Xenopus tropicalis: one gene and its partner. Each later gene encodes a partner of the first gene's protein in a complex. Links are inferred from orthologs where the notes say so. Each region holds a gene or a part of one and is shown on either strand. Other genes may lie near its edges.

Region 1 (7,399 bases):
CCAAAGAGTGCAGCAGAGGATGAATATAGGGGTTGAGTAAGAGTGAGTGAGAAACAAGGCTCTAATGCTCCAATAAATGTCTTAAAGGGACACTGACATGAAAAAACTACTTTTTAAATTATGAATCTACATAAAAAGTTCCCTATAGGTCATGTTGATAATTTTTTGCTGATAGGGCTGCTTTGGTAAGTAATTGTTACGTGAAGTTCCTAAACCTGACTATTTTGCCAACCTGACTGTCCCTTCTCAGCCTGTCAGTTATAGCTTCTAATGCTAACAGCCTCCTGCAGCACAAATATGGCCGCCCCCTCATAAAGGAACACGGGGGATCAGATAAGTAATGGAAACGCATTGGGGAAATACTTTTATGGCAAAACTATAAATAGCATGCAAAGACAATGTTATGAAAGATGTAAAAAATTTTCATTTCTAGTGTCAGTATCTCTTTAATGTTTCATCTTCAAAAGAGGTGAAAAACATGGCTAGATCTACGCAATATTAGAATATCTAAAAAAAAAAGTGGGAGAAGAGACCTTGCTGAATGGTTAATCTGGTCCAAATCAAGGTGTGGAGCCTTCAATCTAAACACAATTGTGCTGAGAGATTACGGAACTCCTTCTGGACCATACCTCATGCTGGAATCATTTCCTTTTTAGTGTAAGGCAACTGTTCTTTTCCTGGAAAGGAACTGCTCACAGCATGACGTATGGGCTAAAAAATGCCATGCCATTCTGCGCAAAAGCTATGACATCACTCAATAGGTGGGGTGTTACACACATTCTAAGATCCACTGAACTGATTTGGGTCTGCCTTCACAATAACAGCTAATGGTCAAGAATAGGATACAAATCAAATACCAACTAGGAAATAGCCAAGTAGACTTTAGGACTAATAGCTTTTAACAAGGAATAAACTGTGGGCGCCTTAACTCCCATCACACCCTGCTGACTGTGATCTTGACCCATGCTTTACCGACTGGATGATATAGAAATGACATAGTATGGGGGCGTCCTTATAACAGGCACCTTTTCTCTGCTTTAGAGCTAATAATGTAGCATGCCTTGTGTTCCCTGGCCCAGACATGGCCCTTCAAGCAATTTTAATGGCCAAGTTGAAATGCTCAGATTATTCTTTGTGCAACATCAATATTTTAATATAATGTGGCCCAATATGTGGTGTGGGAATTAACTAACCAAATGCTTAGTGACTGGGCTCATTGGGGAGTGTCTAACATTAACACCCCTCAGTGAATTTGGCTTTCCTTGTTCTTTAAGGGTTTCCATTGGGTGGTTTCCCAATGTGGTTTAGGCTTAGCATAATCTCAAATAATTTTCCCAGTGGAAAGTTAAAAAAAGTTATTACAGGGTGTTTATTAGAGAGAGTTATCATTTTAGATGATACTCTGTAACTAAGGACTGATAGTGGATGAGAACAAGGGTGGTGCGTTGTTACACAGTAGCCCAGGCCAGTGCATTTTTATCCTAAAAGGAGTAACCACCCAGGGGAAAAAGTTTAATTCACTGATGAGAACATCACATATTGGCAACCCCCAGCAAATTGTCCATTACAGTGTCATAAACACTAACTCTAACACCTTTTAGAAACAAAAACTTTACTATTAATTAAAGAGGCATTCATTGTAATTCAATGGCTATATAACATAAACAAGTGCAAATTCAAATATGATTTATGGCCCTGAAACTTTGAATAATTGAAACTTAGAATGAGATTTAAGTGCTAATGAAGGCTTCTGCCATTGCCATTAATAACGGAAATCCAAGTTGGATTCTGTTGAAGTCCCATGCAGCAGACCCTGAGGCTGCAGTGGGGCCTGGGCTTCCAGGGTCTGTAGTATGGTATTCCCCATCCCCAGCCTCTTTTTCTCCTCTTTTTCTCCTCTTCTCCTCCTTTGCCCGTTGCAAATGAGTGATCAGCTCAGCTATCATGTTGTCTAAACAATGGTCTACATGGCATAGTGTGTTTAATAGAGATTAAGGGCAATGGTGTGATTTCCAATTCTATTGGTGGCAAAATTTCTCTTCCATTGATCATGATCCTGCTGCTGCCCCCATGGAGCAGGTGATTATTGCTCCTAAACATGAGCAGAGTACAGGTCATTTGCAGGTTTTTTTTATGCCTGCCACCAAGCTGGAAATAGTGAAGGGTAAACCCAGACAAATGCGCTGTAATGCAAGCAGTAACACAAGCATTCGGATGAATGTGCAATGAACCCAAACATTTAATAAATCTTCATTCCCTAAATATAACTTTGGCTCAGTTTTGTGCAATAATAACGTAGGAAAAAGAAAGGCATGTAATCTCAATCACTTTCTAGCATTTTCTTTTAAAGGATAAGTATTACCTATTCCAACCTTACAGCTGTCCTGGCGTGAAGGGGTGGATCTGAGGTTTCTTTGAGATGACTCATTCATAAGTTATTGCTGTTGCAAGAAAGTATTAATAGCTTTGTCGCTTGTAGTGTTTCAGCGTTTAGGTTAGGAAATAAACCTGAATCAAATGCATTACAACTGCCACATTAAACCATTTCTAAAATATATCTACACTGTGCCTTGTGAAAGCATTCAGCCCCACCCAACTCTCTCATTTCACTGAATAATAAATCCTACACTGAAATGTAGTAGCTAGATGCATCTGTAGGTACAGTGATTTTATTTTATTTATTTATATTTTGTTAATAAAAGCCCAACCAACCTGCCGTTTCATTATCCTCAGCCATGGTCATCTTCTCCACCTCTTGCTTGCGCCTGATTTCAAAGCGCCGAGAGAACCCAGTTTTGGGCTTCCACATTTCTTGCAATACTAGAGGACGTTCATTGTCCCCAACAACGCGCAGGTACTCCATCTTCCATTCCCCTTCAAGCCCCACAAAGCGCCCCACCACATCGCACAGGACAAAGACTTCTGTTTCGGAATCGGCCACTGCATATCTCTCTAGGGCCTCTTTCACTAGTTCCTCTGCAGAGGAACGTGGCGTAGCCAAAACACTCTTATAGTTAGTCCCAGAAGAAATATCATCTCCAAATATTTTCAGGATACCAGGTAAGTTTTTTTGACTGGACAGCTCCACCAAGTCCTCTGGTACTGTGTCGATAATTTCCGACAATTTCTTTTCACTGACCCAGCGTCCCGTCCCGCTACTGATGCTGCCAGCAATGCTATTGGTGCTGCGGTGGAAAAGGTTGGACAGGCGCTTGTGGCGGTTATTTTTGTTCTTTGTGGGTTGACGCAGTTCCACAGTCTCATTGTTGCGGCTAGTTGTGTCTGAAGATGTAGACCTGTAAGAAAGGGAGCTGGAGTCAATCACGGACTGAAGGTGAAAAATAATGGACTAAAATGTGACAAATTATTTGCACTATAAAAGGCTACATTTCCTCCATTGTATATGCACAATACATGAGAAATAACACACAACTTTAACATTTTTGTGCCATTGTCCTTCAAAATCTGTAATGAAAGCTCAATAGCATGGAAATTCGTGCATTTCGTGCAATTAGACAACATGAAAGGCCACATTGCACTGATCCACAACCTCATATTATTTTCAAATGGTCAGGACCTGACATGTGCAATGTGTGCTACTGCTCAATAAATATTGCATATCCTCACCATAGGGTTGATTCACTAAAGTGCGATAACGCATATCGCATGCTTTTTTTGCGTTAAAATTGACGCATGCGTTAAGTTGCATATTGCATGCGTTAATTTTACCGCATTGCGTTAATTAGTGCGCAGAAATAACACTAACGCATGATTCACAAACACTTAAATATCGCATTACTTTATGTGAAAATTAACACCTACTTGGGGCAGGCGGTAATTATAGAAAAGTACAGTTAATGAGCTTTTGGCAAAACAATATGGACTTTGCAGTGGGATTTATTCAAGTCTGTGTTGGCCCTAGAGTGACGCAGCCTCCATTTTGCAGGGAAATGTTAATTTTTAAAAAAAAAGTAGTTTTCCTAACATAATGGTGTATACGGCTAATATGGCGTGCGCGCCATAACTAGCGCACGTACGTTAATTAGCATGCGTTGCGTCGAATACCGCACGAAAATAGTCTTCGCGACTTAAATAACGCAAACAGCATCGTGTATAAATTAACGCAAATATACTTTTAGTGAATCGTGCATTAAGACGCGAAAAATTAGACGCAATAAAATTTTTACCGCATGCTATAAATAGCACTCGAAATATCGACCTTTAGTGAATCAACCCTCATGTCTTTTATAGCGCAAGAGACTGTAAGTTCTTATCTAGATGCCATTGGTGCCAGCATGTGGTGAACAGAACATCACCAATCAGAAATCTAGTTTAAAGGGGTGGTTCAACTTTAAGTTAACTTTATGTATGTTATATAATGTCCTATTCCTAGCAACTTTGCCATTGGTCTTCATTATTCTTTTTTTTTTTTTTTTTATAGTTTTCTTAAGTTATTTACCTTTCTTTTTTGCTTTCAAATGGGGGTCACCGACCCCAGCAGCCAAAAACTATTCCTCTGTGAGGCTACAATTTTATTGTTATTGTTACTTTTTATTTCTTATCTCCCTATTTCAGTGCTCCACAACCCATGGCTTATGTGCAACATGTTGCTCACCACCCCTTTTAATGTTGCTCCCAGTGGCATCAAAGCAGGTGCCCATTTTTAAATCTCTGATTTGGAGGAAAGATTTGGAATTTCATAGACACAGTTTTACTCCAAGCAGAGCCCCCTGCAGGCCAGCAGGCCAGCAGCCCACATAGGGCTACCAAATAGCCAATCACAGCCCTTATTTAGAACCCTAAAGGAACGTTTTTCATGCTTTTGTAGCTCTCCAACACTTTACATCTGCGTGTGGCTTTTGAGTAAAAAAGGTTGTGGATACCCGAGAACCTAAGTAGTCCTTTGCCTATTCATATTCCAGTCTCTTATTCAAATCACAGCCTGGATGCTAGGGTAAATAAGACCCTAGCAACCAGATAGCTGTTGAAATACCAAACTGGGAGAGCTGCCTAACTAAAAGCTAAATAACTGAAAAACCACAAAAAATGAGGACCAATAGCAAATTGTTTCAGAATATCAACATCTACATCATACTAAAATTTTAAGTAAAGGTGAAACATGTTTTATTTATAGTTTATAGCTTTTTATCATACGGTATTACACAGATTTAGTTGTTTAGTTGCTCTCCCTAAATATTAGATTACTGATCTCTTGGGTCACTTGGTGTAATTGCTTAATGGAATTGCTGCCCTGTAATCCAATAATCAATGACCAAATACATGTACCAATAGGGTCATCAGATTTCCCAGTTTCCCCTTTTGTCCAATAAACATTTTTACAATTGCAATAGAATTTGATGATCACACTGTTATGTTTATTAATGACCCCATTGTATGAAGTGACAAGCCCATGTTATGTCAGCTTTAGCCCCCCAATCTATATATTTCTATATTAGAAACCAGTGCAGGTATTGCTGAATTCCAGCACTATAACAGACCGTAGATGTGAGTATGAATGAGCAGCCGTGTTTTGTATTATTATACTTCTGCATTACATCAACTGCATCTGATTTCTTTGAAGTTGAATAAAAAAAACCTATTCTATTCCACAGGGATGCGCTTATTTCCATTCTACAGAAGGATTTTGTTATTTAGCTGCAACAGCATTCGTAGCCCGGGCTGCAGGGGACTGTTTAGACAGTCTTTGTTGTATAACCATGCTATGCAAACATCTATCCCATCAGCCATTTGTTCCAGAATGTTCCTTAGAACTACTGAACTCTTTTATATTGTCAGCCCTTTGGAATGTTCCTGTTGCTACACCTGGTAGTGTCTGGTAGCACACGGGTGGTAAAGAACTTACCAAACACTATGAACAAATCTCTGTGTTTATGGCTGAACAGCTGACAAAAGACATTTCAGCTGAAACCTGATTTCCTATCCAGCAACTGACGGGACCCCTAATATGCATGTTAGTTCCATGCCAAAACTCAGAAATGACTAAGGCTCACAAATATTCCAAAGCCCCATTAAAGAATATTCTTATTTACAGGCCCGGACTGGCAATCTGTGGTTTCTGGCAAATGCCAGAGGGGCTGCAATAAGTTGCCATAGACAGTCACTATTTATTGGGCCTCTGTGTACTTTAGCCCTTACTTGACGGGGCTGGGAATTCTGGGAAATATACAGCTGACACCTATACACATATAACCTTTATTGAGGACACAGCTATATAAGAGAATTTTTCTGTGGAATGTGTAAAGCATCTCTTGAATCTGCCTGTATTTCTATACTTTTAACGACTGGCGAAAATGATATAGCTCAAACTCCTAGGTACCTACCCTCCCATTTCCTACCATTCCAATATCTGTCATGTGACCAGGCGACAGGATGGAGGGATGGGAAATGTAACCCAGCTCGACCACTGTCCCAGCTCCCAGCACACACATTAAAAATATCAACACAGAAGGGGAGGCCTATGAGTAGAGCAAAGAGAAAAATATCTTACAATACTGTATATCTATATCTGTATATATAAGCATCATCAATGCAGGCAGGCTTTTAGTTCAAAGGACAGCATTATGGCAATGTGCTATTAGTAGGACATCCATTGTTTCCATTGAATGTAGCAAGGCTGCTACCATGTCAGAGGGCTAGGTAAAACCAAACCTTGGTAATGGGCCACAACAGCAAAAACCTGAAGATGCCATTTTTTAGATAGACTGATTAAAGTTTATAGAAGAACTAAGGGGTTCTAAGTTTTGAGGTTCAGAGGAAATCACAGCCCTTTACCAGGGAAGATCTGTGCCCCCAAAGATGCCCCAGTAGCTCCCCATCTTCTTTTCTGCTGATTCACTGTACATGCTCTGTGCTGCTGTCACTTATATACACAATATAACAGTCATTTTATTAGGCTAATTATTAAGTAATTCATATACTCATTACATGGCAGCTCAGAAACCAGAGCAATCTGCATCAGAATTTAATACTCAGCCCTAAGCTTAGTTTTTCAGCAGCTGCTCAGAGCACACTGAGCATGTGCAGTGTCACAGACACTTCTAAAGATGGGGAGCTCCTGTGCACAACTTTCAAGGCATGGATCATTACTATTATAGAGATGCTAAGCCTTTAGACTGGTTAGCTAACCCCAGTAGCACCCAGCTACTGGAGATGATTCAGTGGTACATATTGAAGGCTTAGTAAGGAGGTTTAGTTAGTGTGCTTGTTAGGTTAAAGGTGCCCTCCCTATAGCCGCCTTTATAAAAGGAATGTGAAACATTATTCTGAAACTTATTATCTTGTATTTATATAGCACCTACTCATTTAGGCATAAAAGAATAATGACATCTTTTGTGTGTGTGTGTGTATATATATATATATATATATCTATCTCCTTGTC
Region 2 (8,051 bases), on another chromosome or scaffold:
ATACATATCTTCAGAATACTACTACACAAAATACTGACTATTTTCAGCTGCTTGCTATATTCTTCTCATGTAAAGCTAGCTTCTTATTATGTATCAAAGGGTAACAGTGAAAGACTTTTTAGAAAAGCCCTGGAAGAAAGCTCAGCAGAACTGATAAATGGGCTAGTCCAATATCTGCTGGTATGGGTGGGTTTGGCTTAAGCCTGTACATCTACAGAGGGTTAAGGTTAGGCAAGGGTTACAATGCACCAGATGTAGTGCAAAAAATGAATGCAAACCACTTTCTCCCACACCTTGGGAATCTTAAATCTTGGTGCTCTTGTCGAGCACAAATATGCATTCAGTTTCATCAGTTCAAATAAAATTACACCCATATAATGTTAGCCTCGTTACAAGGAAAGCAAAGTAAAGTTGCTCTCGTATGAGAAACTTTTTGATAATACCTAAAATACTATTTTCACTTTAGCCACAAATCATCAGCTTTGTATGTGACTGTTTTCTTTTAAAACACTTTCTATTACTAACTCTAGATGCTCATATTCCACATCAGGCTGGTCACTCCTTAAAAGAGGCTGTAGGCTGTAGGTTACACAGTAGAGACCTGCAGCAGGTTGGGCACCCGCAGAACACCCGCAAAGCGATCAGGTTTCAGGTAGAAGTGTCTGATTCACCAACCAGGCGGGCGGTCTGCGGCTACCCTATCTGGGTATAGCTGTGGGTTAATTCCAAAACAAGAGTAATTTATACAAGTTAGATTTTTTCTAGAAATTTTGAATAGGCTTCTTATTATAATCTCTTGGGAACTGTTAACTGCATAAATCAATGTTTACAGCAATGAGAAAGACTGAGGCAAGCCTTTCTTTAAATCTGACATTCAAACAGCTGCCTAGTTGCTAGGATCATCAACATTATTAGCGCATTAGCTACCATATATATAATATATATATAAAAATAAGGGTGTCAGAGGACAACAAACCAAAGTTTTCTTAGACATTGCTCACCTAGTGCTTTTACACAGGAGGTGTGTATCTAAAAATGCAAGCACGGGATGTAAAAATACATATATTTTGACATCCTGTCATCCCGTTACATGCATTTAAAAATATACAACTATGGGGATTTTTGTAAAGTAAAGCATTGCACTGTTTTGTTGCACTATGAACAAGCACTGAACACATAAAAGCATGTTGCATTTAAAGGAGAAGGAAAGGCTAAGTCACTTGGGGATGCCAAAATGTTAGGCACCCCAAGTGACTTTAATCGCTTACCTTGTACCCTGTGCTGGTGCCCCTGTTAGGAGAAAACAGCACCAGCCCGTGGGTACCTTGATCGAGCGTTTCCTTCTTCCTCTTTCTTCTGCCGGCGCATGCGTATTAAGAGTGAAAAGCCGACTTTCTTGTTAAAGTTTGGCTTTTCACTCTACTGCGCATGCCCAAGCGCGAGAAACAGGAAGAAGGAAACGCTCGCAGGTCCCCCGGGCTGGTGCTGTTCTCTCCTAACAGGGGCACCAGCCCCGGGAAAAAGGTAAGCGATTTAAGTCAATTGGGGGTGCATAACATTTTGGCACCCCCAAGTGACTAAGCCTTTTCTCCTTTAAAACAAAAACAGTGTAATAGCTGTGCTAAAATACAGATCTGGATGTAAGTGTATACAATAAGATAAAATTAAAAATCGGTTCATTTGTGTTTTGGTGCACATAAAGAGTGACAAGGATGGCCGACAGTATGCCTAAAGTCAATGTCTAATGTACTGATCATTGCTATGAAGCCTGGTCCATACAGTGGAATATCTGGAATACTTGCTAATAACACTAACACCTAAGTTACTGAGCACTGAGTGTCTTCCTTATACTTTTTTGATTAATGCAGGGCCTCCAATGCCATTTATCTTTGGAGCAACCACTGAATCCATTTCACAGATATCATAAAAACACTGACCTCCAGCAAATTACATCAAAGAAAGGCTAAATGACTGGAGTAATCTACATAATTTAGCAAGAAAATAGACCCATATATAGATATATACAATATTTTTTCTTTAAGACTAATGGAAATAATCCAAGTGGTTGAAGTGAAATTTACAGCTTACTACACCTTACTGAAGTTTGTCATAAAGCATGTTTTAAACATTGCTGAAAAAAACAACACTTCTCTAATCTCTCTCAACATTTCTCTAAATCACTAGTGTTTGAGATAATCCTCAACATCCTTTGACAAATGTCAAAATAGATATAATCAGCATAGAATGAAATGGCTGTATCAAAAGACTAAAACACAGAAAGACTTCCAAAGAACGATTTCATCCAGGTTAGCAGTCACTATTGGTAGGTTATAGCTACTTCCTATAAAATTAGGGCAGTGCAAAGGCAGTATGTCAAAAATGTTATAAAAAAAAATAAATAAAGCTGTGTATTTTACATAACTAACATTCTAACACACTAAGTTGTTAATTATTGCCACATTACCAGGTATCATATGGCAGTAATCCTCAACCAATGGCTTGCAAGCAACATGTTGCTCACCAACCCTATGAATGTTACTCCCAGTGGCCTCAAAGCCATGTGTAATGCCAAACAAACCCTCCTGTAGGATGACAGTCTACACAGGGGTTACCAAATAGGCAATCACAGACCTTATTTGGCAACCCCCAGAACATTTTCATGCTTGTGTTGCTCCCTGGCTCTTTTTACATCTGAATGTGGTACACAAGTTTGGGACCTCCACCATATACTACTGCCTAGCAATCAAACAACACAAAAAATGACTATTACCCAAAGGAAATTATTCCATACTGACATTTTTAAAATGCGCATGAACAGTAATGCCTCAATGTCTTTATATAAAGCTCCATGATTAAAGTGAAAGGACACATGGGTTTATTTTTGTAGGAAACCACCCTACAACATTTATTGAAGAGCAAAGAGTGCTTTTGTTTTCTGCTCTTTAATAAATGTTGTAGGGTGGTATCGCACAAAAAAAGTCAATGAGCTCTTTCCATTTATCTGTGGTTCTCCCTGGCTAGAAACAGCTTGGGATGATGAGCAGTAACGTGGAGTTCTGAAGGTGTTTTTTTTTTTTTTTTTTAAGGTAATTGTCACTTTAAATGATTTTAATAGCAGTTGTCACTAGATAAAATAGGCACAAACATTAAATTGTGGCAACAATTACAGAAATGCTTTATCGGTTGGTAACTCACATCACAACTTGAAGGCTTCATGAACCGGTAGTGCACAACAGGAAGCAACCATAATGCTAATCTGATGTTCTCTCTTTACTTCTCAGGCAAGAGAGCTAAATCAATAAAGCCATCTTATTACATTCCCTTTCACAAGTTTTGACTTTACTTGCTTTCACACTTCCACATGCTGTTTTTTCTGCATATGTTGCTTTACTTAAAGGGGTTGTTTACCTTTTAGGTAACTTTTTGTATTGTGTAGAGAGTAATATTCTGAGACAATTTGCATTTGGTCTTCATTTTTTATTATTTAGTTTTTTAATTATTTCAATTTTTCATTCAGCAGTTCTCCAGTTTGGAGTTTCAACAGCTGGTTGCTAGGGTCCAAATTACCTTAGCAACCAGGAAGTGGTTTGAATGAGAGACTGATATATTTATAGGAGAGGACCTGAATTGAAAGATATGTAATATAAATTAACAATTACAATTAACTGCAGCCTCACAAAGTAATAGTTTTTTGCCCACCAGGATCAGTGACCCCCATTCAAAAGCTGCAAAGAGTTAGAAGGCGGCAAATAATTAAAAAACAATAACAAATAAATAATGTAGACTGATTGAAAAGTTGCTTAGAATTGGCTTTCTATAACATACTTAAAGTTAACTTAAAGGTGAACCACCCTTTTAAGCTTTGGAAATGGTGTAATGCAGTGTCTCATTTATATCAGCATTAATAAGGGATATAACTAAACAGTTTAAAATAATATGTGGACATAAACATGACAAGTGAGATACTACTTCCTGATATAACTAGCTGCCCAACACTTTGCAAGCCTGCCCTATTGAGCTAACCAGTCAACTTAACCCTTTCCTTGCAACAGCAATACAAAGCCACACCCCAAGGCCCATTTTGTTAGTTTCATCTGTGGGGTGATTTACAAATGGATCACTCTCTATACAAGAGATATTACTCAACTCGCTTAGTGGCCAGTTTATAGGAACAGAAAACAGCATTTTTCCTTCCCCATACAGACCACAAAAGGGCTGTTCTGATGTGACTACTGCTATCTTTCCTTACGAAAGATTTAGGTGGGGGCTTAATCCTGTTCACCACATTCATAAAGAGTTTAGCTTAAACACAGTATTAACTTAAGGCTATTAACAAAAAGTAATAACATTTCAAGTGTGCATTTATTAGGAATGTTCAACACGTAACCTACATCTCTGGTTAAACTACAAGAACCAAAAATTCTTCTGCTGTTCAAGAATGTTAGTTGCAGTTTAGTGTGGGCAGTATGTTCAATAGCTGAACACAACTGTCATATCTACTGATGGATGAGGTAAAAAAAAAAAATCTTTGTCACCACCCTGCCACCCCCCACACCCAAAAGAACACACACACTTATGTGTGGGATCTAAACAGGATGTTAAGATGTGGCACAGCTATTAGATTAGCCAGTCCCTTATTAGGGTCACCCATAACCAACATCCAACGGTAAAGGCACATGAAGCCCCATTGTCAGCGCTAGCTGTAACTCATACAGTGGACAAAGCAAAGTTTGGCAAACAGCCTGCAAACCTCCACCCCTGTTCTTCACTAAATGAACACATTCAAGGTATACATTCATGGTAATATGCTGTAAATTGGTAGGACATAATAGGAATCCCAGTTTTCTGCCATAAAAGGCATTTTATAATATTTCCAAGAAGGCATGTTGATCAAGGAGCAATCACTGTGACACACTAAACCAAGATCTGTCTGCCTGCGGCTATTTCTGAACGCCAACCCCGTTCCACTGAGAGTATGCTGGGAGTTGTAGTTTATCACATTAGGATCGGTATTTAACTTGCGGATATGGGTGCTGTGACAAGCTATTATCACTTCCATGTGCATTCTGGACACTGCCACAAGTCCGCCTGCACGCCCAAGGTCCACCAAGCGGCAAGTCCGCATCACAGTGCCTACTCTACACTGCCCTCGACTAGCCAATGAGAATTTTCCGCCATTATCCGGGAATATCTAGCACCCAGCCGGCCTCGGTAGAACTGCTGCTTGGGCCGGGCCCTGACTCCTTGCCCCTCTTCCGGCCGGTCATCCAACCCTCGCCCAGCCTTTCGTTTACACAAGCCCTAGTGCCTAAGTTAATTTCCCAGTATCACTGACCCGCTGTCCTCCTTCTCCTGGATGGGCCCCGGCTCTGCCTGGGATCCCCTGCCGCCCGCTTGTCCTCCTCTGCTCGGGACACACAGCGCCACCAACCCAGCCTGGGTGAGGCTCCCAGCTCGCCCGTGACGTCACTGCGCCGCTCTCGCTCTCCGCCGTACGCGCTCCCGGCGCCTTCCAGCTAAGCGCTGACCTGGCCCTTCCCTGGCACGGGCACGCGCATCATGGCTTCTCTTACCCGAGTCCCACCGACAAACCTTTGGCTGCCCGATGTGGCCGCTGTGCAACCTGTTGTGGCCAAAGGATTGATGGGCTCCAACGAAGGCTATAAACAGTTACATTTAGAAGCTGATTTGTGCTCTGTTAATAAGGGGAACATGTTCTGCTTCTAAACACTAGATTATATTTCTATAGGTACGATAAATATATGAAAATTAGACACATGGTTTTCAGATATAATTGTAGACTTAAATTACAAGTAATACGCAGGGACGCTTTGCTGGTTGTTTATCAATGCGACACGATCGGCTGTATAGGGGTATGATATGCCACACCCACTCTGTATAAACGAGCTACTATCGGGATTATGTTTGTGTGAAGCTGCTGTGAGCGCCTGTATAGCATGACCGGGGGTGTAATTACAGTGGAAGCCGAATGTACAATTGCTGGGGCACTTACCGATGAGCTGGTTATTAGAAATGTCTTATTACCACTGTGCTGGGGCCCAGTAACATCAAATTACACCACTGTCCCTAACCAGATGGGATATAGGGTAACAAAAGGAAGAACAGTTGGAACCATACCTGTGTAACTCAGGCGTTACCTAAATTTAAAGGAGACATATTGGATATATGGGAAAAACCCTAATTTTGTAGGCAATTATGAATAATATATGGTGCTGGTTTCCCTTTGGGCTAAACATTAATCCTATCTGTAATAATGGCCCCTTTATTGGAGCTCCCTATAGATCCTATCCCTTCTCCTAACGGTCCCTGCCAGAAGCACAGTAGGAGGGGGCATAGCCAATCACAGCCCTGCAGTCACACAAGCACAGACAGGCTTCAGTTCCCTATCAGGTCAGCCTAGCTGCTGATTGGTTCCTATCCTCTGTAGTGTACTGAGATCCGCCAGCTTATCCAGAGAATTCAGCCAGCAGGAAGTGGAGCGGATGGACGGGACTAGTGGGGTTTTGGTGGAATTTCTCAATAAATCAGTCTGAAACACAACTTTTTTCAGCACATTCCTTCTATATCTAGAGCAGTATAATTTACTGGTACATTCATCATTTTTATAGGATATGTTTCCTTTAAGGTAAAAAAAAAAATTGCGGAAATTTTTTATGCATGTGTGAGTGCCTGTTAATATTATGTTTTTTTGTTTTTATTAACTATGAAATATGTTCATGATATATACTTTACATTCGTTTATGTTAAATCCTTAAATTCTTTCCTTCAGGATGGGCCACCAACATTCGCTGATGTGATCCTCTGGTGCCAGTGGCAGATCTATAGCATATTGTATACAATGTGTCTATATTTGTTGCATTTATTTAGTTACATAGTTACATAGGGTTGAAAAAAGACCAGTGTCCATCAAGTTCAACCCATCCAAGTAAACCCAGCACACACAACCCACACCTACCAATCTATACACTCACATACATAAACTATATATACAACCACTAGTACTAACTGTAGATATTAGTATCACAATAGCCTTGGATATTCTGATTGTTCAAGAACTCATCCAGGCCCCTCTTAAAGGCATTAACAGAATCTGCCATTACCACATCACTAGGAAGGGCATTCCACAACCTCACTGCCCTCACCGTGAAAAACCACCTACACTGCTTCAAATGGAAGCTCCGTTCCTCTAATCTAAAGGGGTGACCTCTGGTGCGTTGATTGTTTTTATGGGAAAAAAGAACACCCCCCATCTGCCTATAATCCCCTCTAATGTACTTGTACAGAGTAATCATGTCCCCTTGCAAGCGCCTCTTTTCCAGAGAAAACAACCTCAACCTCGACAGTCTCACCTCATAGTTTAAATCTTCCATCCCCTTTACCAGTTTAGTTGCACGTCTCTGCACTCTCTCCAGCTCATTAATATCCTTCTTAAGGACTGGAGCCCAAAACTGCACTGCATACTCAAGGTGAGGCCTTACCAGGGACCTATAAAGGGGCAAAATTATGTTCTTATCCCTTGAGTCAATGCCCTTTTTTAAGACAGCACTTTATTTGCTTTAGTAGCCACAGAATTACACTGCCTGGAATTAGACAACTTGTTATCAACAAAAACCCCTAGATCCTTCTCCATTAAGGAAACCCCCAACACACTACCATTCAGTAGATAGTTTGCGTTTATATTATTCCTACCAAAATGCATAACTTTGCACTTATTAACATTGAACCTCATTTTCCAGTTTGCTGCCCAGTTTTCTAATTTTGTCAAATTGCTCTGCAAAGCGGCAGCATCCTGCATGGAACTTATAGTTTTGCACAATTTTGTGTCATCAGCAAAAATAGAAACAGTACTCTCTATGCCCTCCTCCAGGTCATTAATAAACAAGTTAAAAAGCAAAGGACCAAGGACTGACCCCTGCGGTACTCCACTAACCACACTGGTCCAATTAGAAAATGTTCCATTTACAACCACTCTTTGTAATCTATCCTTCAGCCAGTTCTCTATCCAATTACAAATATTATGTTCTAGGCCA

The links.
Region 2: the proteins of rasip1 (region 1) and rap1b are in contact, whole or in part, in a crystal structure (PDB 5KHO), measured with the Homo sapiens proteins. The link is inferred for Xenopus tropicalis from reciprocal best matches to the Homo sapiens genes RASIP1 and RAP1B. Residues at the interface, in NP_060275.2 of Homo sapiens: Val147, Lys149, Ala156, Ser157, Gly158, Ala159, Asn160, Tyr161, Lys162, Ser163, Val164, Leu165, Glu181, Arg182; in NP_001010942.1 of Homo sapiens: Val24, Gln25, Asp33, Pro34, Thr35, Ile36, Glu37, Asp38, Ser39, Tyr40, Arg41, Glu54, Leu56, Phe64.

Annotation. Positions count from the first base shown.
Region 1 is NC_030683.2:105,703,085-105,710,483, forward strand, and holds part of rasip1 (ras-interacting protein 1), read right to left. Parts: intron 6,477-7,399; exon of another isoform or gene 6,350-6,476; coding exon of another isoform or gene 6,342-6,349; intron 3,297-6,341; coding exon 2,713-3,296; intron 1-2,712. UniProt on the Homo sapiens protein: Required for the proper formation of vascular structures that develop via both vasculogenesis and angiogenesis.
Region 2 is NC_030679.2:58,774,089-58,782,139, reverse strand, and holds the start of rap1b (ras-related protein Rap-1b precursor), read right to left. Parts: upstream 5,422-8,051; 5' UTR 5,336-5,421; intron 1-5,335. UniProt on the Homo sapiens protein: GTP-binding protein that possesses intrinsic GTPase activity. Contributes to the polarizing activity of KRIT1 and CDH5 in the establishment and maintenance of correct endothelial cell polarity and vascular lumen.